Lonchura striata: one gene and its partners. The protein of the gene in region 2 purifies or fractionates together with the protein of the main gene of each other region. This does not show direct contact. Links are inferred from orthologs where the notes say so. Each region holds a gene or a part of one and is shown on either strand. Other genes may lie near its edges.

What was found.
Region 1: the proteins of CSNK2A2 (region 2) and DEK purify together in Homo sapiens (affinity purification with mass spectrometry; 4 studies listed by BioGRID and IntAct, with this or other methods). This does not show direct contact. The link is inferred for Lonchura striata from reciprocal best matches to the Homo sapiens genes CSNK2A2 and DEK.
Region 3: the proteins of CSNK2A2 (region 2) and EIF3L purify together in Homo sapiens (affinity purification with mass spectrometry; 3 studies listed by BioGRID and IntAct, with this or other methods). This does not show direct contact. The link is inferred for Lonchura striata from reciprocal best matches to the Homo sapiens genes CSNK2A2 and EIF3L.
Region 4: the proteins of CSNK2A2 (region 2) and PIP4K2A purify together in Homo sapiens (affinity purification with mass spectrometry; 3 studies listed by BioGRID and IntAct, with this or other methods). This does not show direct contact. The link is inferred for Lonchura striata from reciprocal best matches to the Homo sapiens genes CSNK2A2 and PIP4K2A.

What each region holds. Positions count from the first base shown.
Region 1 is NC_134603.1:88,781,490-88,788,792, reverse strand, and holds the start of DEK (protein DEK), read right to left. Parts: upstream 3,016-7,303; 5' UTR 2,787-3,015; intron 1,109-2,786; 5' UTR 1,098-1,108; coding exon 965-1,097; intron 1-964. UniProt on the Homo sapiens protein: Involved in chromatin organization.
Region 2 is NC_134615.1:17,523,611-17,531,276, forward strand, and holds the start of CSNK2A2 (casein kinase II subunit alpha'), read right to left. Parts: upstream 3,006-7,666; 5' UTR 2,967-3,005; coding exon 2,863-2,966; intron 2,653-2,862; coding exon 2,541-2,652; intron 1-2,540.
Region 3 is NC_134607.1:23,541,821-23,548,776, reverse strand, and holds the start of EIF3L (eukaryotic translation initiation factor 3 subunit L), read right to left. Parts: upstream 3,005-6,956; 5' UTR 2,908-3,004; coding exon 2,875-2,907; intron 2,799-2,874; coding exon 2,750-2,798; intron 2,671-2,749; coding exon 2,460-2,670; intron 1,879-2,459; coding exon 1,799-1,878; intron 1,545-1,798; coding exon 1,483-1,544; intron 191-1,482; coding exon 121-190; intron 1-120. Other genes in the region: ANKRD54 (ankyrin repeat domain-containing protein 54), read left to right, coding at 3,186-3,426, 3,777-3,824. UniProt on the Homo sapiens protein: Component of the eukaryotic translation initiation factor 3 (eIF-3) complex, which is required for several steps in the initiation of protein synthesis.
Region 4 is NC_134603.1:138,985,333-138,993,270, forward strand, and holds the start of PIP4K2A (phosphatidylinositol 5-phosphate 4-kinase type-2 alpha), read right to left. Parts: upstream 3,008-7,938; 5' UTR 2,891-3,007; coding exon 2,750-2,890; intron 1-2,749. UniProt on the Homo sapiens protein: Catalyzes the phosphorylation of phosphatidylinositol 5-phosphate (PtdIns5P) on the fourth hydroxyl of the myo-inositol ring, to form phosphatidylinositol 4,5-bisphosphate (PtdIns(4,5)P2). Has both ATP- and GTP-dependent kinase activities.

The DNA of each region.
Region 1 (7,303 bases), on a different chromosome or scaffold from region 2:
TGTTTTACATACACCCTGCACATCACTCATTTAATGATACCATTCTAAAGAAAAAACTAAAGCTTCACCTAAATATTTCATACTAAAATACTTGACCTCAAGTAACACTATCCTTAGAGCTAAACAGATGGGCTGTCCTGGCTTTAGTGAATTGTATGAACACTATCAAAACCAGAGCAAAAATAATTTTTTCCCTGAAAATCCAATGCTAATCACTCTGCTGTTTTCCAAACGGCATAATCCATCTTCTTTCTACTACCTTTCCTAAAGATCCAAGAGCATCAGTGACTTGGTTTTCACTATGTCACATTACAACTCTATTTCCATGAATGCTTTGCTTTTGAAAACACATGCCAGGAGACATCTCAATAGAAATTAACATTTTTGCTTAGTAGTTCCTTCATCTTGTTTTGTTCTCCTTTACTACCTTCAATTACATGCCACGACAAGAAACTTGCCTTGCTTGCTCACCCTATCACATTGCCACAATTTTTTATTACCAAAATTAGTCTAAAGGAATTTCCGCTAACTCAATACAATTACATTTGGATAGCCAGAAAATTAATTCACTGTAGTTAAGACAAGACATTCATATTGCTTCCAAAACTACTGCACACTTAAGATTTCCTTTTGCAAACACAGATCACTTCAGAGTGTTACTAGCAAAAACTAATTTGATAAGGGACACTACCTCCTATAATCCTTGAAAAATTTATACATCAACAAAAAAAATCCCTAGTACACAAGTCCAGGATGCTGGCAATTCCTTAAATATTTTCTGAGATTAATCAACACCACTGTTTTTAGCATTGCCTGTTATAGGCTACTGGGAAGCTATTATGACCCATGAGACAGATGCATGATGAAATCCCCTCAATAATTGTACAATTAGCCAAAATCACAAGAGACTGCATTCAGTAGCTTGGCATCCATTAAAGAACAACTTAGTCAATGAGAAAAGTACCCTTTTCTTCTTCCTCCTCTTCCTCTTCTTCATCTTCATCACTTTCCTCAGCTTTGTTTTCAGTTTCAGGTTGTTTCTCATCTGTTTTTTCTGATGACATTGTATCTTCTTTTGATGAATCAACAGAAGACATGGTGTATGCTCCTGTAGAAAGAGTCAGGGGAAACTATCATCAGTAGAACAACATCCATAAAAACCACGGGAATCTTGCTTTCAAAAATTATCTCTTTGTGCAGCAGAAGCAGCGTGCTGGTACTGTGATTGTTCACATTCTCTGATCACTAAGGTGTTTGGCATACACACAATACATACAACTTTTCAGAAGAAGTTGCCATCCATCCTGCAATTAGTCTGGTTAAGAACACTCTAAGAGGTTATAAATTCTATTCACACACAAGTCTCCAAGCTGCTTTTGTGAAGCATTCGGGAACACCCACTCAAAGCAGCCGAAACCGTTATCTATTAAAAACTGCAGTGTTTTAAGATATCACTGTTTTACTGCACCCTGCTATAAACTTAATACTTGATCATGGTTAACTATGCATACAAGTTTCCTAGTAACTTAAACAAATTACTTATTTAGACTGGAAATGGGAAAAGAAACATTTTTTAAAAAGCTGCAAGCAATTCAGGAAAGAATTAACACAGCTTTCATAACCTAGACAGCTGCTGCATCTTTAGGCATGAAAATACTTCCCGTTTTAATTTGCAAATCTACAACAAAAAAGAATAAATGCTTCATACTTAGCATGTATAAGAGTCTTTTCTTAATATCTGAAGTGGCCTATATGTAAGCTTTAAACTAAAATATCTTAGTTATACACGTACCATTTTCTACTAACAGAAAACACCTATCCAATAGAGTAAGATAACCATATGTTTCATTTTTAAATTCTAGCTTTCAAAAATTTTCACCTTTTAAATCTGGAACAGAATTTCACACAATTAACAATTTTCTTTTTGCAATATTAAAACAAATATTATCTGCAAGTAATCAGGTACTATAAGTAACACTTAAATCTGCTGCTTATGTGCAGCATTAGTAGGTGCCAGAGATCAGTCGTGTTCCAAATGACAGAAAGCATGAGGTAATATTTATTACAAATAATACGGGGAAAAGTAAAGTTTCCTGGCTAAATCACCAGTGAAAAATACACCCTCCAGGGTATTACTACCAACATTTTCATTTGTAGTAAGTAATCTAGCATTTTCACGGCAATTACTGACTTTTTGAAGGCACGAGTAAAAGCAAGAGAAGCACTACAAGTTGTCTTTCTTTACCCTTTCAGTGTGAACAGAGGGGGGGAAAATAAAGTTAGAGACTTCTTAGCTTTCCACCACCTGGGCTCGGGACGACATTTTGCTTAGGGAAAAAGGGTTCTGGGATCCACCCTTACCGGGAGAGGGTCTCCCGCCCTCGGCTGGGGCTTTTCACGCGGGGACTTTCCACCTATGCCCCCTTCCCGATTTGTAAGCTGGATGCTGGGGCAATCGGAGGGCGATGCGCAGCGCCCGGTGGCGCCGGCGGCCAAGGCGCCATCGGCTCCCCGCTGCAGCCGGGCCAGGACCGCTCGCAGCCCTCCCTCGGCTCCCGCCGCAGGACACGGCCGCACCCGGGAACCGCCTCGGGCACGGGCCGGGAGGGACGCAGCCCCGGTGACAAGCGCCCCGCACACGGCGCGTCCCCGGGGGCGGGACGGGAGCTCGGCGGCACGGCGGCCGCGTTTCATTTCTGCCCGTCACAGTCCGTCCCCGCTCGGCCCGGGCGCGGCGAGGCGGGACCGCTCTCGGGCGCCGTTACGGCCATGGCGGCAGGACCCACCTCAGCACGAGCCCCGGCTCCCTCCTCAGGCGTGGCGGCGGCAGCAGCTGAAGGCGGCAATTACTGCTGGACGAGGCGGGTCCGGGCGCAGCCACACACACGCGCCCCGCCGCGGCGCAGCCCTACAGCCAGCGGCCGCTCTTGCCCTTTCCCTCTCCTTCTCCCTCTTCCCTCCCTCCCGGAATCAACAAGGTTTTCAAAATGGCGGGTTCTCGGGCGGCGAGGAGGAAGCGGGAAGGCGGCAGCCAATCAGCGCCCGCGGCCCCGCCGGCGCGGGGAGGGCGGGGGAGGGTGCGCGTCACGCCCGCCCGCCCGCAATGACGCCAGGCCGCTGAGGGAGCGGGCCGCGGGTGTGAGCGGCGCGACGTTGCGTTTTCCCTTTTAACACTGGCGCTGTCTTTAATTGAGGTGGCTTAGAGAAAAAAAAAAAAAAAGCTTTAAAATAAGGAATCCGCACCACTTATCCTGCCTAAATTGGGCAGCGATTAATATATGCTCCCCAGACTTTCGTTTTGTACACTGTAGTGTTTCCCAGTACCTCTGGCACAGGTTGCCCGGAGAAGCTGTGGATGCCCCATCCCTGGAAGCGTTTAAGACCAGGTTGGATGGGGCTCTCAGCAACCTGGGCTAGTGGAAGATGTCCCTATCCGCAGCAGGTAGGCTGGGACTAGATGATCTCTAAGGTCCCTTTCAACCCAATCCGTTCTGGGTTCTTAAGTATTTAGTAGTGTTCGTCTTACACATATATCCTACTTTTACTACTAGTTCTACGTAACTACGCTTCACACGCGCCTGCGATGAACCATTCACAGGAGCGTGGCATCCTTCCCACTTCCTCTGTATTGCTCCAGCGCGGCTCCTCCCCGCGGGGCTGGAGCGAAGCGCCCGTTCCCTGCCGCGGTCCCGTGCGGGGGGTCCCTGCCGCGGTCCCGTGCGGGGGATCCCTGCAGCGGTCCCGTGCGGGGGGTCCCTGCCCGCGGTCCCGTGCGGGGGGTCCCTGCCGCGGTCCCGTGCGGGGGATCCCTGCAGCGGTCCCGTGCGGGGGGTCCCTGCCGCGGTCCCGTGCGGGGGGTCCCTGCCCGCGGTCCCGTGCGGGGGGTCCCTGCCCGCGGCCCCGCGGCGGCGGCACGGCCGGGCCCGCGCCGCTGCAACGGCCGCTCCCGGGCGTTGCGGCCAGCGGGCGGCAAGGGCTGAGGAGAGAGGTCGCCTCTTTGCTCTTGCAAAATGTAGGGTCTCAGGCGGTCCCCGAAAGAAACGAGGGCCACTCCCCGCTCTGTGGCCCGAGTTCAATTCCTAAGTTAATCTTGGTGGCCAGGCTGGTCTTCACGTTGCCGTCAACAGGAGTTGGGAGTACGCAGACGGTTTGTTGCAGGGAAGCAGTCCGAACTAGCCAGTGCAGGTGACTTGTCTAAAAGCCGTGTTATCCCAAGAGCACTTTCTTAGGTACTGTGAGTAGCTGTAGGTATATGGCTCTTACTTTGGGAGGTAAAGGGAGGGTAAAAGAGAGGAAATGAAAAGAGCGTCACACTTCTGTGAATTGTTCATCTTAGATGGATGTAAAACATAGTATCATAAAATTGGTAATAAACCCAGGAAATATATGTTACACAAATATTACAAAATATTTATAATCAAAGAACAGATTGGGTTGGAAGGGACCTTAAAGGTCATCAGGTGCCAATCCCCCTGCTGTGGGCAGAGACACCTTCCACTAGCCCGGGTTGCTGAGAACCCCGTCCTGCCTGGCCTTGAACACTGCCAGGGATGAGGCATCCACAGCTGCTCTAGGCAATCTGTAGGATACAGATATTAGGAAATACTACAATTTATATGCTGTGTACAAAAGGATAATCTGGGGAGGGTGTATTAATCACCATCCAATTTAGGCAAGAGAGATGCAGATTTCTTATTTTAAACCTTTTTTTTTTTTTAAAGCCTGTGCAAACACAGACGGTGGTCATTTTATAAGGAAAAATGTAAATTATTTACCAACAATATATAATTAGACAAGCTTATTGTTAATAAGGAGACAAAAATATCATTGGGCCATGGGCTACACAAATGGCACGAGACAGATGTTTGAAGACAACAAACTACTTCCTTTAAGATGAATAGGTTTGGATTAATTCAGAATTGTGACAGAAGACATCCAAAGGCTGTGCTTCGGGTTGTGATGATAAATTAGATCGCCTTTTGTAAAAAGGGATGTATTTACCCAATGGAAATGATTTGCCTAACTGAATTATATATGTTGATATTCTATACATGCCACATTAGATGCACCTTCATCTTGAGGAGAAATAGAAGATAATGGTTTCATTGATCCTTTTAGTGAAGTCATACCACTTTAGTAGCTGACAGACCTTTAAACATAAACCAAATCCAGTAATTTAGGAATTTATATACTCGGTGTAGGTAAATTTCATTTTGTCACAGGTTCCTCTGGCAGAATTTCAATAGCTATGATAACTTCTATTGATTGTGTTTTTTGAAACCTCTGCCCTTCATAGTATCTTTTTGATTTACAGCTGTATGGAGTAGTTTCAGTATGTTGTCAACAGTTTAATAATTGGTTGTTGCATCTCCCAGATAAGACTGAGACAATATAGGTTAAGCAGACTTCAGAAAAAATATGTAAAGCTATAATTTGGAGAAGGAGGTGACCAATTTGAAAAAAAAAAAAAAATCAGACATGTTTTAAAGGCAAATTTCTAAATTCAAAAAAATACTTTGAAACTGGTTTGTCTTCTCATTTTGACTATGAGTAAGAATGCTGATTCTCAATATACTGCTTTGGGATGATATTCTGTATCCACACTTCTATATTGCTGTCTTCTCCCAGTCTGAGGAAGTTCACTTAATTATATTATTTCAGGTGAGATTTGAAGGACCTGGGTGGGATAATGATATTGGTATAACATATTAACATTATCTAAGGTGTTTAGACATTGTAATGAAAGGTTCTAAATGCAACCTAAAAGCCTTGGTCCTGGAAGAAGGACAATTGGAAGGGGATAAGTAATTTTAAGTGGTTCCTAAGAGCTGCTTCCTATAGCCTGCTCCCCTTATTCCATCACAGAGAGCGTGCTTCTCTACTGTTAGAGTCCTATCCTAATGTTAAGGACACACTGAGTTTTGACAGCTATCTCCGTCTGCAGGTGCCAGTTCTATGAAACACAGTTCTTCTGGAGGTACCTGGGCTCACTTTTAGATATCAAAGGGTACATTTCTTAGACATCATAGCTCAGTAGCATTAAACAGTGAAAACTGGTTTGAGGGGACTGTAAAAAGGGGCAGCTTCGTGTTTCAGCATACATTACAAGCTTGTATTTTATGCTGAAATGCACCAGAGAGTGCAGTTTTAAACATGGTCACCAGCTGCTGTTAATTAATAAAAACAGCTCTTTTCAGTTAGTTCAGAGCAACTTGTATTGGCAAGCAATGCTTATTGGCTCTCAGTATAAAGTATAAAACAACCTATGAGCAGCTTTTGGGAGCAGAAATGTAGGCTTCCCTTTACAAAGTCCCCCAGGGCTGCCTTTATTTGTTTCCAAAGTGACCTGTCACTGCAATGTCCTGCCATCAGCCCAGAAACTGGCAAGTCTGCTGTGGGCAAAACTACAGAAAAGGCCATCTGTGGATTGCAGACAAAGCGCCCTGCATCAAAGTAGACACTAAGTACCTCTCATCTGGAATTTTATCCATAGAGTAAAATACCACAACAACAAATGATGGGATGCTACTTTTTTAATAATGTGGGTACTGTTGCTTTGTGTCCTTGTATGAGTCAGTTAAATCTATATATGCGTGTGTGTGTCCACACTTCAGGGTTTTTTAACAGTCATGTGACAAGGTTTCCTAGAAATGTCAAAATGCCTGGCCTATGAAATTCTGAGGAAACTGTGCAAATGCCAAGTACATCTTTATTGCTATTAGGAGCAGTGTGTGGCTTTTGAATCTAAGGGTTGCTTAATCACTGCTGAAAGCAGGAATCTAAATATGAACTAATAATTGTACTAATTAATACATCTTAAAAGATAAGAACTTGAAACCTGTTTGGGTAGTATGCAGTTAAGTTGTGATGTGATCAATAACATAAGCTGAGAATCTTCAGGTGTTCACTGCACAGCTGTGCAAGTTATTTATTGACTGATAAGAACACTAAGTTTGCACAGTGTTTCCTAAGGGGATCCTGCATCCTACATTCATTTCCTTTTTTATACCCCATCTAAATGTTTCAGGACTAGCAGGCTATTATATCCATCATCATGTTTGTCATGCCTGACCCTTTAAGAAGCTTAAAGAGTTGTCCCTGTAAATACAAATACGTGCAAATGTGAAATGTGTAATCAATATGAAATCAATATAAGCAGATTCACTATACTTTAGAAATCCCCTTTTGTGCCATGATTCAGGGTAAGTATGTGCAAGATTCAACAAAATTGTAAAGTACAAAGAAACATCAGAGATAGACAATGAATCAAAGTAGGATATAAAGACATGCTTTTCATCTGTGT
Region 2 (7,666 bases):
TGACCTCTGTGGAGGATGGTACAAGATGTTCAGGTACTACAATGCCAAAGCAGGGGAATTACTTGCTATGTGCTAGCTTGGGCTCAGTAAGGACAAGCTGCTTCAAAGAGCAAAGGCTAGGAAGACACACCAGTGACTTTCCATGAAGTTGAGATATCAAAACAGTGACTCTTGGTGAAACTCACCCTAACACCTAACATAAATTGTACTCTCAAAAATGTTAAAGAGAAAGGACTGTGCTAAACAGCTGCATCCATTGCCCAACCATGGTACTTCCCTTTAGCTCATCCCTGCATCACACAAAAACCTGCATTTCTCATCTCACAGAATCCAAATTTTTCCCCAGTTAGGAGGAGCAGAGACATCCAGTCCCTTTGCTAAGATTCCCCTGTAGATACATGCAATTATGTTTGCAATTAAGTTTTGAGTCTAGTTACAGGAAACCAGAGGCACTTTCCACAGATCAGGGTGATGTTATTGCCACACTTCACAGGTTTTCATAATGTACACAACGTGGTGCTCTGAAACTCCCTTTTCACTGACCCACTTTCCACGGAGGAGAAAGTTCATCTTTATTTATCTGGACCTTCTGCTTTTCCTTGCTCACTCACAGGAATGCTGTCTGCATTTTAATGCCAGTGGAGAGAGCCAGGGGAACCAGTGGCAACACCATCCACTTCATATCTGGGACAATCCAGTCTCCTGCTTGCAGGGCATTAAGGCAACACATTCAGGCCCCAAGGAGAAGGAGCACCCAGCTGCCCTCAGATGACTCTTGCCAGCTGACTCCCTGTCCAAGGCTGACAGGCTCCCTAGCTGTGACAGAGTTCAGCTGCCACAAGGAGAGCAGCATTGCCCCAGGGGAGGCTCTTTGGGCTGGGAACAGGCAAGGAGCAGGGTTTCTGATGACTTTTCTTGCAGCCTCCTTTCAGTCTTGCGGTGCCTTTCTATGTGGTGCCCAAGCTAGGATTTCAATAAACTACAGCAGTCCCAAAGAGGCCACCAAGGGCTCCAGAGGAGCATGCACAAGTGCACAGTTTCCCCAGGCCAGCCACCAGGCATCTTGCTGTAAAATCCAGCTCTGCACTTGCCACTTGTGACTACTGTCTGACAGCAAAAACTCCTGCCTGCATCTGCTTTAAAAAAGACAAAACCCCAAACCACAGAAGAATCCAAAGGAGGGGGAGCACGCCAAAGGAACCTGGCTTGGCAAGGACACATGAACCTCACCACTCTCACATCAGGCTCAGCCACAGAGGACAGCTCACCTGGCCACCTCCTTGCCCACAGCCAAAGCTGGGGTTTGCGTGCCTCCTCCCAGAGGCAGATGGAAGATGATACCTTTCCCAGAAGTGCTGGCTGGACAAACCATGACAAGTTCTTTGGGAAGCTAAGGCAGATCCCGAGGAAGCAGGCACACTGAGAGAGTGGGAATGTCAGCAGAGACAGCCAGACATGCCATCTGAGTGGATCTAGTGAGTGCCTTAAGGCTACAGCCCTGCAGATATGCATGTCCCGGAAAGCTGCTCTTCTCAGTGGTGCACGGGCACATTAAGCTCAGAACCCCCTGCATGCTGTGGATGAATGTGTGCCCAAATTCTTAGGACACCCATGGTCAGACACTGGCTCCCACGTGCTCTTGGGGAACAAGTGATAAGTGTTGCTGGTGCAACAAGTGACAGCCACAAGTGTCAGCCAAGCCAGAATCAAACATACTGCAACTCTAACCTTTCATCTCTGTCTTAACTCCCCTGCCTGCCCCGAGATCACCAACACAGAGTGCTGCTAGGACAATCAGCACAGCTTGCTGTGAGCTGTTGCTTCAGTGTCAAACATGGTGAGACATGCCCCGCAGTGTATAACCTGTGCACAGCCATCCCAAACTACAACCTCCCAGTGCTGCACAAAGGTCCCCACAGCTCAACCCCACCAGGTTCAACACACCAGCAAACAGATCACCAGCACTGCCAAAGTTTGGTAGGTTTCCTTGAGCCCCCTCAAGTTTCCATAGTGTTTGTAGTATGACTGTGATGAAGCTCTTTTCCACATCAGATCCTCTAAAGGACTGAATATAAAATATTGGTTCTTTTTAAACTGCTGAGCATCCCACAGCCTGGCTCTGGAAAGGCCACATGCCGGCTGTCTAGAGATTAACAGAAGGATTCCCCCCTCCAGGCTTCACATTCCTGTTGAAATGGCTGTCCCTGGGCTGTTTCAGACAGGCATTGCCAGATACGATTTGCCAAACACAGACAGAACACGCAACGCTGTTCAAATGTCAGGACTCGGCTCTCCCCCACCAGAGGAACTCTCAGCCCTGAGCTATGCTGGACAAGGAGGGGTGGAGACATCAGAACATCACTACAGTACTCAAGACACCAATTCCATTTCCAAACACACCATCCCAATGATCTTAACGAGAAAACAGGAGTTTTGGAGTGAAGAAAGAGATCCAACAGTTCTTTGGCCCTGCCAACCCAGCTTCTCTCTGTCTTGCTCCCAGCCACCACAAGCCTCTACATCATCAACGGGATACTCACCTTGAGGATCTTCACGACGACCCTCTCGTTGTTGGTGATGTTGATGGCCTCAAAGACCTCGCTGTACTTCCCTCGGCCGAGCTTTCGAACCAGCTGGTAGTCGTCCTGGTTGCTGCGGGCACCAAGAGGAGAGAGGCGGTGCTGGGGGAAGAGCGGACAACTAACACGGCAGCAGGCCGGGGAGCGGGGTCCTCTCCCAGCCTCTCCCCGCCGCAGCCCCCCGGGACACCCCAGCACGGGAGCGGGGGACCGGGACATCCTCCCCAGGGGCCGGGGCCCTCCCGCGGGAGGAGGGAGGGCGGGTCCCCGCACGGCGCTTTACCCCCAGCTCGGGACGTGCGACTCGTAGTCCCAGTACTCGCGGCTCCTCAGGCTGTTCACCTCCGCGTACACCCGCGCCCGGCTGCCGGCGGCCGGGCCGGGCATGGCGGCGCCGGGCGGCGGCTGCAGCAGGAGGAGGAGGAGGGCGCGGGGCCGGCGCGGGAGGCCGGCGAGGCGGGGCGCGGCGCGCAGGAGGGCGGCGGCGGCGGGCGGCAGGGCCAGGCCGGAGCGGGGCCGCGGCGGGGCGGGGCCGGCCCGGGGGCGGCGGGCGCGGGGCCCGCGGAGCTGCCGAGGCCCGGGCCCGGTGCCGGCGGCTGCAGGCGGGGCCGCCCCGAGCGCCGCGCAGCCAACCCGGAAACGGCGGCGCCGCCGCCGCGCCCGCCCAGCGCCGCGCGGCGCCCCCCGGCGGCGCGGAGGTCCGGCCCCGCGGCCGCGCCCGCCCCGCGCCCGCCCCTCAGGCGCCGGGTCCCGCCGCGGAGCCTCCCGGTCTGCTGCCACCCGTCCCGTGTCGCCGCCCAGCCCGGCAACCCTCTGCAGCCGAGCCGTCCCCAGCCTCCCCTGCCTGCTCCATCGCAGCCTGGCGCACGCCCGCCACACCCTGACACCCCCGGCACTCCCTCACACCGCTGCGGACAGCGTCACCTCTGCCCCCTCACGACCCCACCTCAGCCTGGCCACAGCCCTGGTATACTGTCACCCCATCGCCGCCTGCAGTCGCACTCTCTCCTTGTTCCTGTCGCCCCATCACGTCTCGCCAGCCCCAAGGTGGAAGCTGGGGTGAACAAAAGGCTCCGTGTTCCTCTGGAGGAGCTCACAGAGCCGCAGCCGGCTCCTCCGGAGGTCATCTGGTCCGAGCCCTGCTCCAGCAGGGTCACCCAGGGCTGGCGGTCCTGGCTTGTGTGCAGACAGCTGCTGGACATCTCCAAGGATGGAGCCTTCACAACGTGCACGGCCAGCTGTGCCAGTGCTTGGTCCTACTCAATGAAAAAGTGTTTCCCCAAGTTCAGAGGGACCCTCCTGTGTTCCAGCGTGTGCCAGTGGCCTCTGGTCCTGGCACTGGGCACCATTGGGAAGAGCCTGGCTCCCTCTGCTTTGCCCCCTCTCTCAGTCCCTCATTCACCTCCGTGTACCTTCACTGGCCTCTCCCCACTGTGCCCCTATCTCCGTGGCACTGAGAGGACCAGCACTGGACACAAAGCACTAGCGGTGATCCACCACGGCTGAGCACATCCCCTCTCTTCACCTCCTGTTAATGTTTTGACTAAGGCAACCCAGGACACCCTTAGTCTTCTCTGTGGTTTATGTTCAGTGTGGTGCCTGCTAAGATCACCAGATCCTTTTCAGAAAAGCTCCTTCCCAACAGACCTGGATGTGGTTATGACCCCTGAGATACTGTGCTAGTGACTGGCCTCCAGCTAGAGTTTGTGCTGCTAATCACCACATTTTCAATCCACCTCACCTCCTTGAGTCCCAGGGGAGCTACCAACCCCAGCTCTTCCTCAAGCCCATGTGGGCTGGGTGCAGCCCGGTCTGGAAAGATAAGCATGTGGATTCAACCAGACACTGAAAAACCCAGTGAGCTTTCTGTGTGCCTGAGACTGAATGATGAAAAAACCCAGGAGGACTTTATAATTTCATACTTTGAGTCCTGACTGAATGCAGACCAGGCAGGACTTTCACAGGATCTTTGGAAAACAAGGAGGACATGTTCATGATGCTTGCTCTTCTGGGGCAGTCAGCCCTGGAGGGAAAAGGCAGATGTGACACCCACTCCTGCGAAACCTGTCTTAACAAAGCAAGAGGAAGATCATCTGTCCTTTGGGAAGGCTGCCCCATCCTGAGCCCAGCTGACTGGCCCTTCCTACCACGACTGTGGAGTGAAGACAAACATCATCTCCTAGGATCTGGAGATGTAGAAATGCATAAGCAAAGCAGTCAGGCCCTGCATAAACTGGAGCTGATGGCAGATATGCAAAGGCCAATGCCTGAGTCACCAGCTGAAGCGGCGCTGTGACGCCAGGATGTGCATGTGGCTGTTTTTGCAGAGTGAGGTGGTTGGAGCTGCCCTGCTAAACAGCTGAGATGTTCATCTCTCACAGCAAATTCTGCATGGGACCACAGCAAAATCCTGTGCTAAAAGGGAATTTCTCTTCCACATGGTGCTACTATTTGGGCAGAGATGCTCAAGCATAGAGATGGCAATTTTTTTTTTTCTGATGGATAATTTTCCTGGTAGAGTCCACTGAGTTGTCAGCAATTTCATCACTGGTGACATCTTCCTTGATGTTTTCCAGTGGGACACAGGCAGGCTATTGAACTGGCTTGCCAGGCTGATTCCTGGCAGGAAAGCTGGCCAGTTGCTGCCAGCTCCTCCAGCTGGTGCCTGGGCTGCCCAGCTCTGGGCACCACGGCTGCCTGCTGCCTTCTAATGCTGCCCAGCACTGCCCACAGCAAAAAGCCCAGTTTGCAGTTATGGGAAGTTTGCCAAGCTTTACCTACCTTCACTGAAATGCTAGAGGTCTGTTTTTACTACTACTATTACTACTACTACTACTATTATTATTATTATTATTATTATTATTATTATTATTATTATTATTATTTTCAAATCTGGCCATAACAGCCCAGGTGTTTCCCACCTGGGAAAAGTCAAGGAAAATATTTGTTTAGCCATTAAGACAAGATCTCTGGACAAGGGACAAATTTTCTGGCAGAGATATGCTAGGTCTCCTGCTGACCTTTGAAAAGCTGTGTGTGGCTGGACAGAGCTATAAACACTTCAAAAATCTGCACTCCACATTTTGCATCTGCAAAATCTCTTGGCTGTCCAGTGATGCCATTCTTGCCCACCACCCATCATGGCTCTGCTGGGTCACTCAGATGCCTCTCCTTTTAACCTACTGAAACATGGCCTGTGGCAGGCTGAGGCATCACAGCCATGGCCTGGTGTGGAGACAGGGTGTTAGAGTTATCTTTGCAATCTTAGCCAACACACACAAGCACTGCTTTGAAGACAGCTTTTAATTCATGTCCACATGTTCAGCTTTTTCATGGGATCTTCATCCCACCTTGCATCCAAAGATGAACTCCAGGGTATGCCCTATGCATGCTGTTCCCTCCTCTTCATTCCAAACCACTCAATTTCTGGTGTCAAGTTCTGTATGTGGTGAAGATCCCACAATGAAGGATGTTCATCCCTGCACCCAACAAGGCCAGGAAGTGAGGTTCCTCCTGTGAACTGGATGTGGTTATGACTCAAGATGCATTTTGAAGATGAGTTTTGACATGTTCTAGCCAGAAATAGGACTGGCTTTGCCAGGGCATTGATTTTTCTCATGTATATATGATTAGATTGACTTGCATCCCTCATCCCAAAAAAAGCTGTGGTGAAGCATCACTGGCCACATCATCAGCTTTTGGAGGAGACACACACATTTAAACAGACCTGCCATCCACTGCCATTGGCCCTGAGCATCTCGCACAGAGAAGTCAGAGCACATTGCTGTGCCATGGTCTAGATCCAGAAACAGGGATACTTACAAATGATTCTCCACACCCTCACAAAGCTCCTAAAACTAGGCATGCCTGTAGGGACAGCTGCCTTCAGGACTGGTGCTACTGCTCCCCCCAGTTTTACATCCAGATTGTGACAAAGCAGTCTGTAAGAGGAAGATTGTAGTGTCACGGACAGAGAAACATCCATCGTGGTGCAGATGTACCTCAGATGGGAGCAGGGGGCCAGTGTTTGCCTGCACCCCTCTGGAGCCTTCAGCACCCAGCTGTTGGACTGAGTCCTGCCTGGCCCAGCTGGTGACAAGGAGCCCAGAGGCAGTGCCTAGTCAGGAGCTTCTGGGAGCTGGTGCTGCAGGAGCAGGAGTGATGTGCACCCCAGGAGACCCCGGGGAGGGCTGTCCCTTTGCCATCACACCCCCTGCCACTGCAGCCAATCCTCCACACATGCATTTGATCAGTTTCCAGTTTTGCATATGTACCTCTACCAGAGCAGTCCACCTTGGAGACCAGGTGCTGGTGGAACCATGACCAGCCCGTGTCTTTGACCCACAGGCCATGGGTTCCCCCAGCTTTGCAGCTCTCCGAGGAGGTCAGCACTGCCAAAGAAGCACGACCCCCATGGCAGCTCTCACAGGCAGCATGGAATTCCTTTCTGAGACCAGCACAAACCTCTTCCTTTGTCCAAAGGCACGGCTGCCTCCTTGGCAATGCTGCTGGGAGACAGGCACTTCTCACAAGGAGCTGTAGCCTCCCAGCAGCCTGGCTGTAACCTTGGAAATAATGAGTTTTCGGCTCCGTGGAGAACCAAGCCAGCCTGACTCTGCAAGGAGACAAAGCCTGAAGCCTGCTGCCAGTTCTACCCACAGCAAGATGAACACGGCTCTTCTGTGAGCTCACACAAAGCCTCCCTTGTGTAGGAAGGGATCCAGCCAAACAAATGATCTCCTTGGCTGCACGTCTCCTGGTGCTCCATCATTTTTACTATTTGCTGGATTGTTCCCACAACCAAGGAAAATTTAACAAGTAAAAGCATCTGATAAAAATCTATCAACCACAGTAAAGCACCAACCCAGCCAAACCAGTCTGTACAGCACAACCCTCACAGCCTTCAGGACACGTCCATTCAATTTACCAACCAGAAAAAAAAATGCTGTATGGTACTTGCAACATCACCAGTGTGGAGTCTTTGAGTACAGCTTGTGTTACCAAAGCGCAGTGAGATGTCTGAAGGTCGCTTCCTTCCCCAAGCCTGGTTCCCTGTTGTGAAAAGACAAGTTCTTATGTCATTTCCT
Region 3 (6,956 bases), on a different chromosome or scaffold from region 2:
CCCTCTATTACTTATAAAGAAACATGTTGCTGTTCTTCTGACCCTTTGTCCAGCTCTGTCCTCTCCATCTGATCTTTCTCTCCAAAACTCACAAACCAGAAATTAATTGCAGCAACTCACTGAGAATGTAGTTGAAGAGATTGCAGTAATTGTAATAAGACTCAAATCTCTGCTCCAGCGTGGGCCCCCCCTGCAAAGAGAAGTCAGCAGAGTCTGCTTCAAATCAAGCAGGGCAGGAGGGAGTTCATGGGCAACAGCATAAGGACAGTCACAACAGTAGAGGGTCTGGTTCAGGAGTGCTAGAGCCAGTATTCAACCAGGACACCCACCAGCATCGCCCAGAAAACCTGTAATTGTAGCACTGCTGTCCCACAAAATAGGGATGGCTTTTCCTGTATAGGCAGATTCTCCCAGGATATCAAGCAGTCAAACATCCTGTGAATATTCTGCATTAACCTTCCCTGCTCCCCTCTGCTGTTCAGATTCAAGAACTTCACTATTCCTTCACCAGCTTTCCTTCCTTCTCTGCTCATGAGAAGCCTTAATAGATGAACAATTCTGTTTCTGGACATAATTCCTAGACACTTGACCTACTGGTTCTTGTTTCAGCTGGAGACACTGAGTCTGAAAACCACTAATGGCACAGCTTGAGAAACCAGTTTCTCCTGCTGAAGTTTGGCTTGGGCACACAGCAGGCTTTTAAAAGTGTCCATTTCTCCACCCTCTGGTCTACAATAAAACTGCAGTTATTACTTATTTACCCAAAAGTCATGCATCTGTTGAGACTTTTTCCTTTAAGAACCAAGTACTATGACTTTCTCATTGATTAAAGAGACTTAGAAATAGGCTTAAAAAAGACAAAGTTTGTTTCGTTTCACAGAGCACTATTCTTTTCATTTCCTTCTTCTCCATCCTTCATGGTATCCATGTTTCCCTTTTCATAAGGCACTCTGATCCCATATGAGGATTTTTATGACAAATAATGCACCTTCCTCTTGTGACACCCCTTCTCACTGCCTGCTCATTTGAAGAGGAAAAACAAAGAAACACACATAAGCAAAAAAAAAGGAAAATTCAGTTACCTTCCAACACCCCCTTATTCCCTAACTCACTAACCATTACATTTGCTGTTAGAAACAAAGAGCCTCCTGAACACTCAGATCCAGTCTCCTGATTCATCTGAGCTACCACAGAAACCAGCACACTCATCACCACCAAGCCTGAAGAGACAGCTAATGAGCCTCAAACAGACAATCAAGTCTTTCTTGCTTTTCAGCAGTCAGTGAATCCTTACTAAACTACCAAAAGCAAAAATTTTAATCTTCCCTAAAATCAGTGTGACTTACAGCTCATGAACCCATCCAATCCTGCCTTGCAAAGGTTAGGGGACCACTGATACTGTAGGGCAGCAAGACTTGTCAAGTTTGCTGGCACAGAGAAGCCAGCAAGCAGCCCACAAGAAGACACAGGGCCAACACTCACGCTGACTTTGGCGTAGATGTGCCTGTAGTACAGCTCCTTGTATAGGATCAGGAAAACTGCATCTGGAAAAGACAACATAAGAGGACATTAGCAAGCCACAAGGCCTAGAAGCCTTCTGCCAGAACAACGAAAGGAAGCACAAAAAGACGCTTCACTCAAGTCTGACTTCTTGCCAGGCATCTGCTGAAAGAGCTGCCAGAGTGAACAAAGGCGACCGACTCAGGCAGCAACAACGCTGTGCACCTGATAACTCAGGGTCAGGAGAAATTCAGTTCCTTCTCTCTCTGACAACCCAACAGAAAGTGGAAAGACTCACCATTTCCAACCTGAGGAGCAATGGCCTCAGCCTCTGGCCATGGAGTGTTCTTAAAAAACCTTTCTGTCAGTTTTGTCCAGCTGAAAAACAGACACACATGAGGTATGAAAATCCACGTTTCACTCAGTATGACAGTGCTGGAGTCAGAGATGACAACAGAGAGAGGCCTTGGACTTGATGAAAGCTGAGCAGCACCACCAACCCCTGCTAGTAAATCCAATGTTGAAGCATACCATGAGAATCACAAGCTGAGCAGTAAGATTGCAATTTATCTCCCAGGCATGAAACAGACATGTACGTCACTTCCACACTCCCTTTAAGTCAAGCTGCCCCAGCTACAAGCAGGAGTGGAAGCAACCGTTTGGAAGAGACACAAAAGCTGTACCTCAGGTTTTTGCAAACTGCCAGACTAACACCACTGAGAGCCCTCTTTGCAGCCTCCCTCCCTGTTAGGCCAGGGCTGACACTTCCCTTCAGACAAATCACAACTCGTCTATACTCACATTGGCCTAATGGGCTGGTAATACCAACGAATTTTTTTTCACAGTTACCAAACAAAACCCGTTTCAGAGAAAGCCCAAGTTCGGAACAGCACAGGTAGCAGCCTTCCCTTTTAACAGCATCACAAGTTAAAACAGTGATTTCCATCTGTTGGAAGTACCTGTTCTCATAAATGTCCTGGATCTCGTACACCTTCTGGTCAATAACATCACTGGAAACGCGGCTGGCCTGGAGCTCATACACCTTCTGGTCAATGAGATCTGACACCGTCTTGTGAAAATACTGAATGAAGTTTTTGATCACTTCGGGGATCACCTGGTAGGTCTGCTGTTCGTACTGGCGCTCGTAGGCCAGGTCTTGCTTGGGGTCTCCTGCGGAGAAGGAGGAGCAGTGAGGCAGCGCCGCACGGCCCGGCCGGGGCGCAGGCAGGCGCGGGGCGCTCACACTCACCCGTGTGCATGTCATAGTCGTTGGAGTAGGCGTAGGGGTCGTAGGCAGCCTGTGGGGAGAGGGCGGCAGTGAGTCCCCGCGAACCCGGCCCCGAGCCCCGCGCCCCCCAGGCCCGCGGCCCGCACCTCGGTGTCGTAGTCCTCCCCCGGGTAGGCCATGGCGGCGGCGCGGCGCGGACAGCGCTGCGGGCGGAAACGCGGGCCTGGCGCGGGGGCGGGGCGAAGGGCCGAGCGGAGCCCTTCTACTGGCCACAGCAAGTGCCTGTCTTCACCCGGGCGGGCCGGCCGCCCCTCTCTGTCTGACTGGGGAAGGCAGCTGCCCGTCAGGCTCTCTGGCCCCTGCCCGCCGCGCCTCCCCGCCCGCTCCCTGCCCATTGGCTGCACCGCGGGCTGTGCCGCCGGTGGCGTCCCGCCCCTGCCGGCCCGGCCGTGACGGGATGGAGGGCGGCGGGGCTGGCGGGGCGCCCGCCGCGGGGCCGGACTCGGAGCCGGGGCCGGACTCGGAGGCACAGCCGCAGCCGCGCATCGCGCTGCCGCCGCTCGGAGCGGACGCACCCCTCGGTTACCTGCACGTCCTGTGGCAGCGGGAGGAGCCCGCGGGCAAGATCCCGGCCCGCCGCCTGCGCAGGGCCGCCCGCCTCCACCGGCGGCTGGGCCCGACGGGCAAGGAGGCGCACGGTGAGCGGCGGCGGGGAGCCGCTGTCCCGCGGCCGAACAGCCGCTCTGCGGCCCGCCCCGCTCGGGCCGCGGCAGGCAGGGAGGGAAGGGAGGGCGGGCGGCTCTGTTCCGTGCCCGTCCCTGCCGGGGGAAGGCGCCCGTCGGGAGCGGGCGGGCCCGCAGCCCGCTTCGGCAGGAGACAGGAGAACCATTCTATATCCTGCTGTCCTGATCTGCTTCCCATTCTCTGGAGCCGGTAGCAGCCTGATTTGGCCCCCCGCGTGTGCTCGAACACCGGGGTGGAACGTGTCTGTAGGGAAACGTGCCTTTTCCCTCTGTACTTTCCAGTAATTGCTTTCTTTCCTCCATAGCTCTGAAAAGGCTGCGTGAAGCTGCCAATAGCAACGATTTGGACACAGGTAAGGCTTCTGTCAGTCCCACTTGGGACCTCTTCTTGGAAGGGCATTATCTCAAAGGCTCTTACTCCAGGAGAGGAGGAAGTGGATGCAGATAGTTTGTGGTCAGGGTGCTTTAGATGCTTCAGATGTAGAAAAGGCTTTTTTAAAATCCAGGTTTGTTCTCCAAGCAGAGTGTGGCTGGTTATTGTTTTCACTTTTTCATTGCACCTGGTTCATAGTGTTAGTTTTCCATCTGCCTGGGCCTAAATCAACGCTGTACTGTCCCAGCTGTTTTGGTATGTTCTTTTGCCCAGTTGTTAGCAGCAAGAGAATAATGTTTTGATTTAGGTGAAAAAGTTATGATTACCTAAGCCATACACTGTATGATGAGGCAGTGTGACCCAGTAGATTAGAACCAGGGCCAGAGCTGGACTCTCCTAGTTTCTGCAAAATTCCCTTGTGATCCATAAATTCTGCTTTCCAGATGTCCAACCTCAACACTACATCTTTGTCTCTCAGGCTTTGTTAATTGAAGCATATCAGAGTTAGTTTATCAAAACTTAAAGTCTTAGTAAATTTTGCAATCTGTGCTCCTACAAAATGAACTTAATGACAACTTTGCTAGATGCTGGCTAAGAGTAATAAAAGAATAACACACAATTTATAATGAATTAATATTTATTGATTATGACTAAACAATCTAATTAAAAGGTAATTAAAAACATTAGCTAAAATTACTAAAAAGTTCTGACATTTCCAAAAATTTCCCCCTTTGGAAGTGATCTTAATTTTCCTTTATGATTACTTGCACTTAAATTGTTGAATATCTAGCAAAACTTAAGACATCAAGATGCAAAAAATTTGCTTGTATTTTGTTATAAGATATCATAGATCATTAATTCCGAATGAAATTCTAAATCGGGGTATTATCTCTTTTAACAATATCTTGGTAACTTCTCTTGCTTTGTTGGTGCAAGTAGCTATCCAAAAAATGTGTCAGCTAAAACCAATATGTATCAATATCCTTCTTGTCGAGGTAATTCAGAAAAATCTGTTTGCCTATAAACTCCAGGACAGTTTTCTCTTTTTATAATCCCTAAAGGAGGTCTTTTGTAGGGCTGTGGATTGTGTTGCAAACATATACACTTACTGACTACACTTTTAATTCCTGGTATTTTTACACTAATTGCTTGATGTTTCAAGTTGTCTCTCATAGCTTCTGCTCCCCAGTGTGTTTCTCTGTGTTTATCTTTTCCTGCTTCTCTCATCACTGCTTGAGGTACTATGTTGTTCCATTTCTCTTTCTTTTGGCAATATAATATCAACTCTAAAATACCATTTTGGTGTCAAATACCATGAACTGACCATTTTCCTTGATTATCTAATAGATACTCTAGCCACCAGAGAATACATTATGCTATTACCAGTTAAAGAATTGCTTTTAAATTCTTTCCAGTGCTGCAAAATGCAACCTAAAGGCAAACATTTGCGTATACCCCTCTTCCCGGGCTCGAGAAGAAAAAGGAAAGCCCACAGTAAATAGAAATTCCAGCAATGACAAAAACACGACACGAGAGAGCGCTCTGTGCACACCAACATAACCCCAGTCAGCTAGGAGGAGCAGCCGCTGTTCTAACGCCAGGAGAGGGCTCTGAGCAAAGGACCCTCGCTTTAACAATTTACATTACCCAAAACCAAACACTTAGTACACACCAAGTACACTAAAATTCACAGTCAACATACAATGGCTTAAACACTCTTACAGCCAATGAGTTTTCATACAGACTCAATTTATGCTTATGACACACGTTAACACACACATTTTCCAACACTAACAGATACCATAGGCTTCAATAAGCAGACATATCTGGGCAAAGCCCTTCCACAACGTGGCTCTTCATGCAAGCAGCACTGTCTGACTAATTTATGGGCAAAGCAGAGGGTGAAGACTCAACACCTTTTGACTGTCACTTATATAGTTTTACAATTAGAGTTTTCCAACTAGACAGTGGGACTCAAACACAATTCCATTAATATTCACTTACAGAGTTTTACACTAACTTTAATAGAAAATAGCCAATTATATATCATAACTTTCTTAACTCTTATTATGTTAGAGAGTGCAAGCTTATGATTAGGTATACCTTTTTAAACCTTCAGTAATGTCTTAATAAACTCCCAGGATTTTTTGCCTTGAACTTGCCTGGATCAGAGGATTGAACATTTTCCCTGAAAAAAGTCTTTCAGTGTGCACCAAAGTCCTTGTTCCTGTAAGTCTGTGGAACATCAAATGCGTTGTCTCACCTGGGTCACCAGTAAATTGTTACTAAATCCTTCTAAATTGTTGGGGTAAATAAACCCCTCTAACATTTTCTTTATAGTGTTAGTGCGTAAGATGTTACGTTGTTGCTGGCCAGGAGGGATTTTTGTGGCTCACAAAATTCTGACCTCCACTCAGACTCAGATATAAAACTTCTTCACTTATTTATATTTTTTAGCAAACAAATAAATGAATGTTCATTGGTTGTAAATTGCATAATTCTCTTCTATTAATTAGTACGGTGTCCTCTGTGGGGTATTGATTTCTTGCTTCTCATGCTAGCTGGTCTATATTTTTAGTCTTTTTAGTATCTTTCTCCTCTGGTAGGGACTTTCCAACACATACACTGAGTTGGAAAGTCTTTGTTAGTCCCTTATTTATCTTCTGGTTTCTGCACAGTCCTTGTGGTCCATAAATTCTACATTCTAGATGTCCAACCTCAACCATACATCTTTCTCAGGTTTTGTTCATTGAAGCATGTCAGAGTTAGTTTATCAAAAGTTAAAGTTCCAGTAGTTTCCCCAAGCTATGTTCCTACAAAAGTACATTATGACAGCTTTGCTAAATACTGGCTAAGAATAATTTAAGAATCACACACTGTTTATAATTGTATATATAGATTATGATTTACTAGAGCTATTAATTTAAAAGTTAATTAAAATCACTAACTAAAATTATTAAAAAGTTATATCATTTCCAACAGGGAGATGAAAGAATGCAGTTTTATGTAAGTCTTGGTTTCAATCCACCTTAGATTTGATAGACAGTTTCCCATGTTTACAGTCCTCTTGTGTTTTGTTTTCTCTGCAGCTTGAGGAAGTGTGCAATGATTA
Region 4 (7,938 bases), on a different chromosome or scaffold from region 2:
AAGAACTCACACCTCTGCTGTCAGCCCTCAGCTTTGTGACACCAATGTTTAGGTTTTCCCTTTAGAGTCATGTTTCCTTCTAGGACAGGAGAGTTAAAACAACAGTTTGTTGAGGTTTTTTTCTTAATTTTTTCACATTCAATTTCAAACTCTGAAAATCCTCCCATATTCAACAATCAAGTATAGTCCTAAGACTAAAAAAATGAATACACCTGCAGAAAAATAATCTTTTTCCTTTATCTTCACCAAGTGTTTCCTTCCAAAACATGCAGCAATGTCAGAAACATAGGAACTGCATCTCAGCTTCACTGTTTCAATATATATATATATATTATTCCCCAAGAAACAGTTAGTAAGACTCATATTTCTATTCTCTCATTAACTGACAGGCACTACAGACAGTCTTAAATATAATTTTCCAGATAATTACTGTGTTCTAAGTTTAATGACTCCCATCATGAACTATAATCTATGCTCTGTTCTTAGTCTAGCTTTTGCTTATGGATTTCTGTTTATTCTGCTAAGAAACCTAAGGATTCCTAACTCCTGTTCTTAATTAATACACATAGTTTGTATTTCTCCCATGAGAAACTCTTATTTGTGATAACAGAGTTAAACCATGCTTGCACACTTATTTTCATTTGGTGGACATTGCCACATGAAGCATTACAAAATGACAGGAAAAGCATCTAACAGAGAAGCCTGCAACACTTCAATGATGCATTCTTGGCCAGGAAGAGATGTTTAATTTGGACACATCAAATTAAATTTTTTTTTCCATGCTCTCTCATTCAGTGGGATTTCACTTCCACAGGGCCTCCAAGCATTACTCATGACTACATTTTGCAGTGGGCTAAGGAAATGGAATGCCATCTGCAGAACACAACAGATATTCACACCTACAACCATCACCTTCATGTGAATGCAAAGCCTCTTTTCTCTGAGCCTGTTGTGTTGCTGGTGTTGTTTTTTTTTTTTGAACCTCTCCAAAGAGAGGACTTCAGTTCACAATTTCGCATCTTCTGTGCATGAACCAACATACTTTATTACATTTTCTATTGAGAACAGCTAAGCACACTACAGCACATGACTGCAGGATGGTGAGAATCACATATGGTGTTGCATTTGTCACTATATACTTGGTTATTACTGTAGTGAAGAGGTCTTTCCTCTAAAAGTAGTGGTATTTCCACTGTGAACTCACATAGCAACGAGCTGTTGCAACAGGAAGATCTCTGCTTTCATCAGTGATCTTCTCCCCCTCTCCTCAGGAAGACAGTGAACAGCTAGCACACGCTGCCATTCAGTACAACTCTCTCACCCTGTAATTACTCGCTTGCTTTCTTTCATTAAAGAGGCCTGTTTGAGAATTTTCTATAACACTGGCTACTACAAAAGGAGCAAAAGAAATGTGGGTATTTAAGCCCAAATCAGGCAAATCAGAATATCATGCACTTCCACAATTAAAGATATTTCTGCTTTGTAGATAAATAACTACTGTCTTATCAGTTCATGACATAGATGTCACTGCTCACAACTGACCTACTGAAAACTTGAAATCCTTTGTCACCATTACCTACCGACCCACAGTGCTACCTTAAACAGACTGTTCAACTTCACTGAAGCTTCTCCTCTGTCTGGTACATACAGCCAAAGCATTTCCCCATGATCCTTACTTCAGGCACTGTGCTGTTTAACACAGTCTAACAGAGCCCAGGCTTGATGCACAGACTTTGGGCAAAAACTACTGAAACATCCACAGAGGTAAAAAATTCATGGGCTATGGATGTGTAGGAAACAAAAGGAATAGTGAGCAAATACTACAGGCTGCTCTGTCGGTTTCATGAGACCGTTTCAAAATTTGTAGTCTGATCTCAAATTGCACACTGACATTCTTACAGGCTCGTTACTCAGCAGCAGACGTAACCCATGCAAACCCGACACAGGCGTACAGGCTGCGCTCCGCCAGCAGAAGGGAACACGCTCTTTGCTCAACTGCCCTGATACCCGATTTCTGACGATCTTTGGGCTCTACACTTTTAACCTGCCATGGCGGCTATTTAAAGATGCAAAGCTGCGACCTGAACCCCGTAATGCCCAAACCATGTGACACCTTTACCAGACTCCTAATTTTAACGCAGACCAGCGCCCGGCCGGGAGCTCTCCCGGAGCCCGGGCCGCCCGTCCCCGCAGGGTGATGGAGCACTTCGCAAATGGTGCAGTTCTGCCGCCTTACCACACCAAGCCCTTCCTCCTCCCCTCCCCCGCGCACACTGGCAGCGGACACTTGCCGAAGCGAACAGCACGGACGCGGGACGAACTTGGCCAGTTCCCACTGATAACCGGGATTTTTCCCAACTGCAGCACATCCATGCGACGCCCGCGCGGTGCCGGCGGCAGGAGCGGAGCTACTCGGGCTCCGCTCGCAGCACCGTCCCCTCCCGGGCACCTCCCGCCCGCTGCCGCCGAGCGGAACCGCGGGGCCAAAGGGCGGACACGGGCTACCGCAGGCGCCCCGCACGGCCCCCGCGCATCGTCCGCGCCCGGGCAGGGCGCTGCAGCCGCTCCGCGCCGCACACCCCACGCTCCCGGGGTAAGGCGCTCCCGGCCCCGCCGGGCGAGGGGCGGCAGCCGGCGGGGGCTCCCGGCGGCACGTGCCTGCCCCAGTCCCGCCCGCGCCCCCGCAGCCCCCGGGTGCGATGCCCCAGCGCGGCGGGCGGGCTCGTGTGGGTCGAACGGCGGCGCTTACCGAGTGGTTGACCCCCCACATGAGGACGCTGAGCAGCGGATCGCTAGCCCGGAACAACTTCACTTTTTGCGCCACGAAGTGCTTTTTCTTGGTCTTGGTTTTACTCGCCATGACGGGCACGATGCTGCTGGGGGCCGCCATGGCGCTGCCGGCGGCGGAGGTGGAAGGGGCTGGCGTGGGGTAGAGCGGCGGGCGGGCAGGAGCGATCAGCGCCGCAGCCCCGCGGGCGAGCGGGCGGCGGGCGGGCAGCCGCGGGACGCCGGGCGCATCCCGGCCTGGCGGCTGAAATGGCCCCGCTCGGCGCGGCGGCCCCGCCCCGCCCCCCCCGCGGGGAGCGGCCGCCGCCCGCCCGCCACGCACCGCGCGCCCGCCCCGCCCCCGCGGGAACCGCGGAGCGCCGGCTCTGCCGCCCCGCTGCGCATGCTCCCCGCGCGCGGCGCCTGCGCGGCCGCGGGCAGCGAGGCGGGGGGGCCGCCGCGCCGCCCTCCCCTCAGGGAGCGGGGCCTGCGGAGCTGGGCGCGGGCCCCGCCCCGCCCCGCGGGAAAGGGGCTGTCGGCCGCTGGCCTCTGGCCCTCACGCCGTCGCCAGTCCTCTGAGGAACCGAGCCTCCCATCGCCCTGCTCTTTAGCGAGCTGGTGGCTCACGCCGTAACTTCGTACAGCTTGTGTGATTCCAGTTCCCTCTGCCAGCGATCTGTAGGAATGAGAGGGATCTCTGCGGCAGGGCTGTGCCTGCTGCTCCCGCCCCAGCTCGGCTCCCTGAGCAGAGCGGTTCCTGCAGCCGACGTGCCGCAAATACAGAAAGCTCGGTCCCCTGCAAGACTATTGCACCGCTGTGACCTCGCTGTGCTGTTACACCCCCAGCAGAATGTTTCTTGATCGTCTCCATGGCCACAGAGGATGTGGTCAGTGACAGGTGACATCCTGTAAAGGCACATCTGCCCAGCTCAGAAATATCGAACACCGCGTAAGTTTTGCTCCACTGTATGATGAGGAACTCAATGACATCTGTTGTCACTGCTCGGGGCCAGTACCCACGGGTAACACAGAGCATACATCTCCTGAGCCTTTACAGTAAGTCATACATCAGCTTCTGAATAACACAAACTGACCTGCCTGCTGTAGATCTTGCTTTGTTCATCATCTGATGCTTCAGCAAGGTGACCAGATCCTTAGGGAGAAGCAAGAGCAGGGCAGCTCCATGAGGTGGACAAACCACAAGTGAGGGTCATCCCACTGCAACCAGTGCTCTCAGTGACAAGGCATGGATGCACAGGGCCCACACTTGGTGGGCAGGGTGCTGGCAAGAGCATACATCACATCAGCAGTCCCAGAGAAGCTGAGGTGATGAACCATGTCCATCCAGGAAGGCACAACGTAGGCACAGGTTCTATCCAGGGCCAGAAACAGAGGTGCAGGCAAGCTGCCTACGAGAGAGGCCCAAGGTATAACCAAAACACAGAGCTGGAGACAGGTATACCTACAACATAGCTCAGGCAGAGACCTAAACTGTGCCCTCCCTGAGCTTAAGTGGAGGTCCTGGGCAGAATGTGTTCCCAGTGTGGCTGTTCAGGGCAACTAAGATCAATACCTGAGTCTGGGACCCCAACACAAGCTTACATAAATTTAAAAATGTGTTGCACGTCCCCATTTCTCTTTTGCCATTGTGATCTCAACAGCAAAGTTATCTATCATGCTGGAATCTAAAGCAGTAATGTTTAATCTCCCTCCTGCATTGAAGCAGTTACTGGGATTTATTATATGGTCCCTTGTCTTCATATTATGGAGAGTATGATAAAACAGAGATGTATTTAATTTTCTGCTCATTTTTTGTTTTGTTTTTTTTTTTTTTTTCCCCCAGCAGAGTTACTTAGGAGTTACAGAGATACTCAACTGTAATTTTTGTTCTTGAAAATGGATTCAACAACAAAAAAATCCCTTATGTTCTGCTGCAGTCAATGGAAGCAACTGAGTCGTCAGCACCTTTGAATAAAAGCAGGTCACTTAGATGCCTAAATATAGATTTGAAGTCAGACTTTTGGAAGAGTTCAGTACCCATTTTATCCCTTACATTACACTTAGAACACGACATCTGAGCACTGTGCAATGCTACGCACATCAACATGACTAACATCTGCCACACATGTGTCTTTCTTCATCTTTCCAGAGCAAATCCCTATAGTTAAGCATTTTGGTTTATAAATAATTAAAATTTTAGTAGATTTTTTATAGGGAAGGTTGAAGAAGGAAGTTGCTCTTTTTTCCAGAAGACTTTCTTGTCATATTGGCATAGATTCTAAGGAGCTCTTCTCTGCAAATATGAGTTCTCACTAAAGAAGGTGGTTTTATCAGAAGAACAGAGGATGTTGACAATAACAATTACAGCAAAATTTTAAAAATTCAAGGGCCTGGGCTATTTACATTACAAAGTCTGAGGCAAAGATTTATCCTCTTCAGTTTTAAGTGCCACAAACAAAGATGGTTGCCTGTACTTGCCTTTCCTGTAGGAACCACTGTGGGCACAGGTTTTCCACTGAATCCATGAGACAGATGCAGCTGAACTCAGAAGTCACTTGAAGAGACAAAACTTGATTACATTTGCAGTCTACTCTTCTCTTGGGATGTCTTTCCCTCAGTTGTAATCCTGTCCCTTAAAACAGAACAGAGGCTGAGGCCCTCCTGCCAATGCCCACAGTAAAAAATTTCACAGTCCATTTCTTGCAGCCTAGACCTCCCTTTCAAACCTCTTTTAACTCACCATCTGCTGGAGCTCCAGGGCTCTCTCTCCCCCAGTTCTAGCAATGACCTGAGGGAAAATGTCATTTTATGCTGAGTCACAATGCAGGGTCCCCAGCCATTGCCCGCACCAAAAGATTGTCACAGCCACGTTCTTCTCATGTTCTACTCTTTCCTTTGACATGTTCCCTTTTTAAGCTCCCTCCATCTGCAGCTCTAGGCTCTCTCTGTCCAAATGCCCACCTTAACACTAACACAGATCTTTAGACCAGGTCCCCCAACCAGTGCCCTCAATAAAATATTCTCTCTGCCACATTTGCTCTACCCCACACTGTAGAGAGCGCTGAGCTCCAGGACGGTTTAGGTGAATGAGGATGAGACATCTCTGAAGGCTGCTCTTGGGTTACAAGGTTTATTGGGGATGCAGAAAGGTCCTGCCTCGAGCTGCCAGACCAGCACGTGGCGAGGCTTGAGAGGATGGGGGAGGGGAGAGACAAAAGGATGCTGTAGGAGAGGGGAAGTTCCAAGAGGAGGGGAAGTTCCAAGAGAGGGTCTGGCCCCTCGGAGACCCCTTATTAGGGGGCTTCAAGGTGGGCTGGAACAAGGCTCGGGCCAATGGGGTTACAGGCACTTGATGTTTTAGGGGAGGATTACAGATGCGAGGTGAACCATACATTTTAGGGGCTGAGATGGAACAGTCCACTTGACCCCTGGACCCATCCGTAGGCAGGGGCATTGTCCGGCTAGCTGGGAGGACTGTTCTCATCCTGGCTGTATTATTTATGAATAATTATATTTATCCATCCTTTCCAACACCACACCTTTTTTGTTTTTAAGATCTGCTTTGTACCTCCATTCCAGCTGCAACTCCAGGTCCTCTGTGTCTCATAGCTCTAACGTTAAGCCTCAAACAAACCATATGCTGGGCTTTGGATATGGTGCTAGTGCCCACACCAGGAAGTTCTTGCTGCCAAGTTCTTCTGGCAGCCTACACTTCCCTGGGACAGTCACTTTCTAGCCCTGAGCCAGCTGCAGCTGTTGTCTCTTTCCTTCTGTCAAACATAACCTCAAACCTCACCCTACACCTAGAAGTTATGTTGAGCCTTGGACCAGGCCCCTCAGCCATTGCTTCCACCACCAAGTTTTGGCAGGCAAGTTATCCCTGTGGCCCAACCTTTTCACTATCAGCTGCTCTCAAGCTTCCCTTCATCTGCAGCTCTAGGGTCTCTTTGGCTCCTAGCACCAGCCCTAACCCTCACACAAGCTGTATGATGGACTTCAGACCAGGACTGCAGAGCACCAGTCATATCAAAAAGTTCTTGCAACAAAGTTCTTCTTGCATCCCAGGTGTTTTAAGGCTGCGGTACTACACTCTCTTGTCAAAAATAACCTTAAGAGTAGGCTGGGCCTCAGACCAGGCAGCCCTGCCAAGTTCCTTTAACTTAGACTTCCCCTTAAAAGCCCTTCTCTAACTCTCCTTCTGCTGGAATTCTAGGCTCTTTCTCCCATCCTTAACTCTAATCCTGATGTAAACATAATTAAATGCTGTCACCCCCTCTTTTAATTCCCAAGCCAAAACAGTCTCCCAGCCAAGTTCTCTTTGCAGCCCACCTCCTTTCTAACTCAACTCTCAGTGCAACTCTGGGCTCTCTTTCTTTTAACCCTAATTTTAACCCTAGCCTCTGCTGGATTTGCAAGGCAAGGTTTTGGTTGTGCAGGGAGCTATAGGGGTGGCCTCTGTGAGAAGATGCCAACCCACGCTGGAGCAGTCGGCTCCTGAAGGGCTTGCATCCTGTGGAAATGGCCCATGCTAGAGCAGTTTGTGAACTACAGCCTTTGGGAAGGACTCATGTTGGAGAAGTTCATGGAGAACTGTCTCCTGTAGGAGGGACCTCACACTGGAGCAAGGGAGGAAGAAGGAGAATGGAGCAGTAAAGACAGTGTGTAATGACCTGATCACAGGCACCCATTCCTCCACTGGGGGAAAAGATAGATAAAATTGGCAGTGAAGCTGAACCTGGGTAGGAGGCTCCCCCTGTCCAGTTCAGGAGGGGAGTAATAGCGTAACTTGATGGGCACTGATATCCAGCCAAGGTCAACCCAGTCATATCAATAAACCCAGCCTAAGGCTGAATCCTGGGCTACAATTTACCTTGGGCTAGGTCAAACAGAAAACTTATGGGAACAAAATTCTCCTTCTTCCAGTTATCCATTCTTTCACAGTCCCACTGCAGCAGAAGCTCAATGACTCCCCCTCCCAAGCCTAACCCTGACTTTAATCTCAGAGGCTGAGCTTCAGACATGACCCTCAGCCACTGCCCAGAACAAGAAGTTCTTGAAGCCAATTTCTCTTTGCAGCCCACCTTTCACTTTGAGAGCTCTTTTCTAGCCTCTTCCAACTGTCTAGCCTTCCCCATAGGTTTCTCTTTCTCAGCCTTAACCATGGCCACAGGG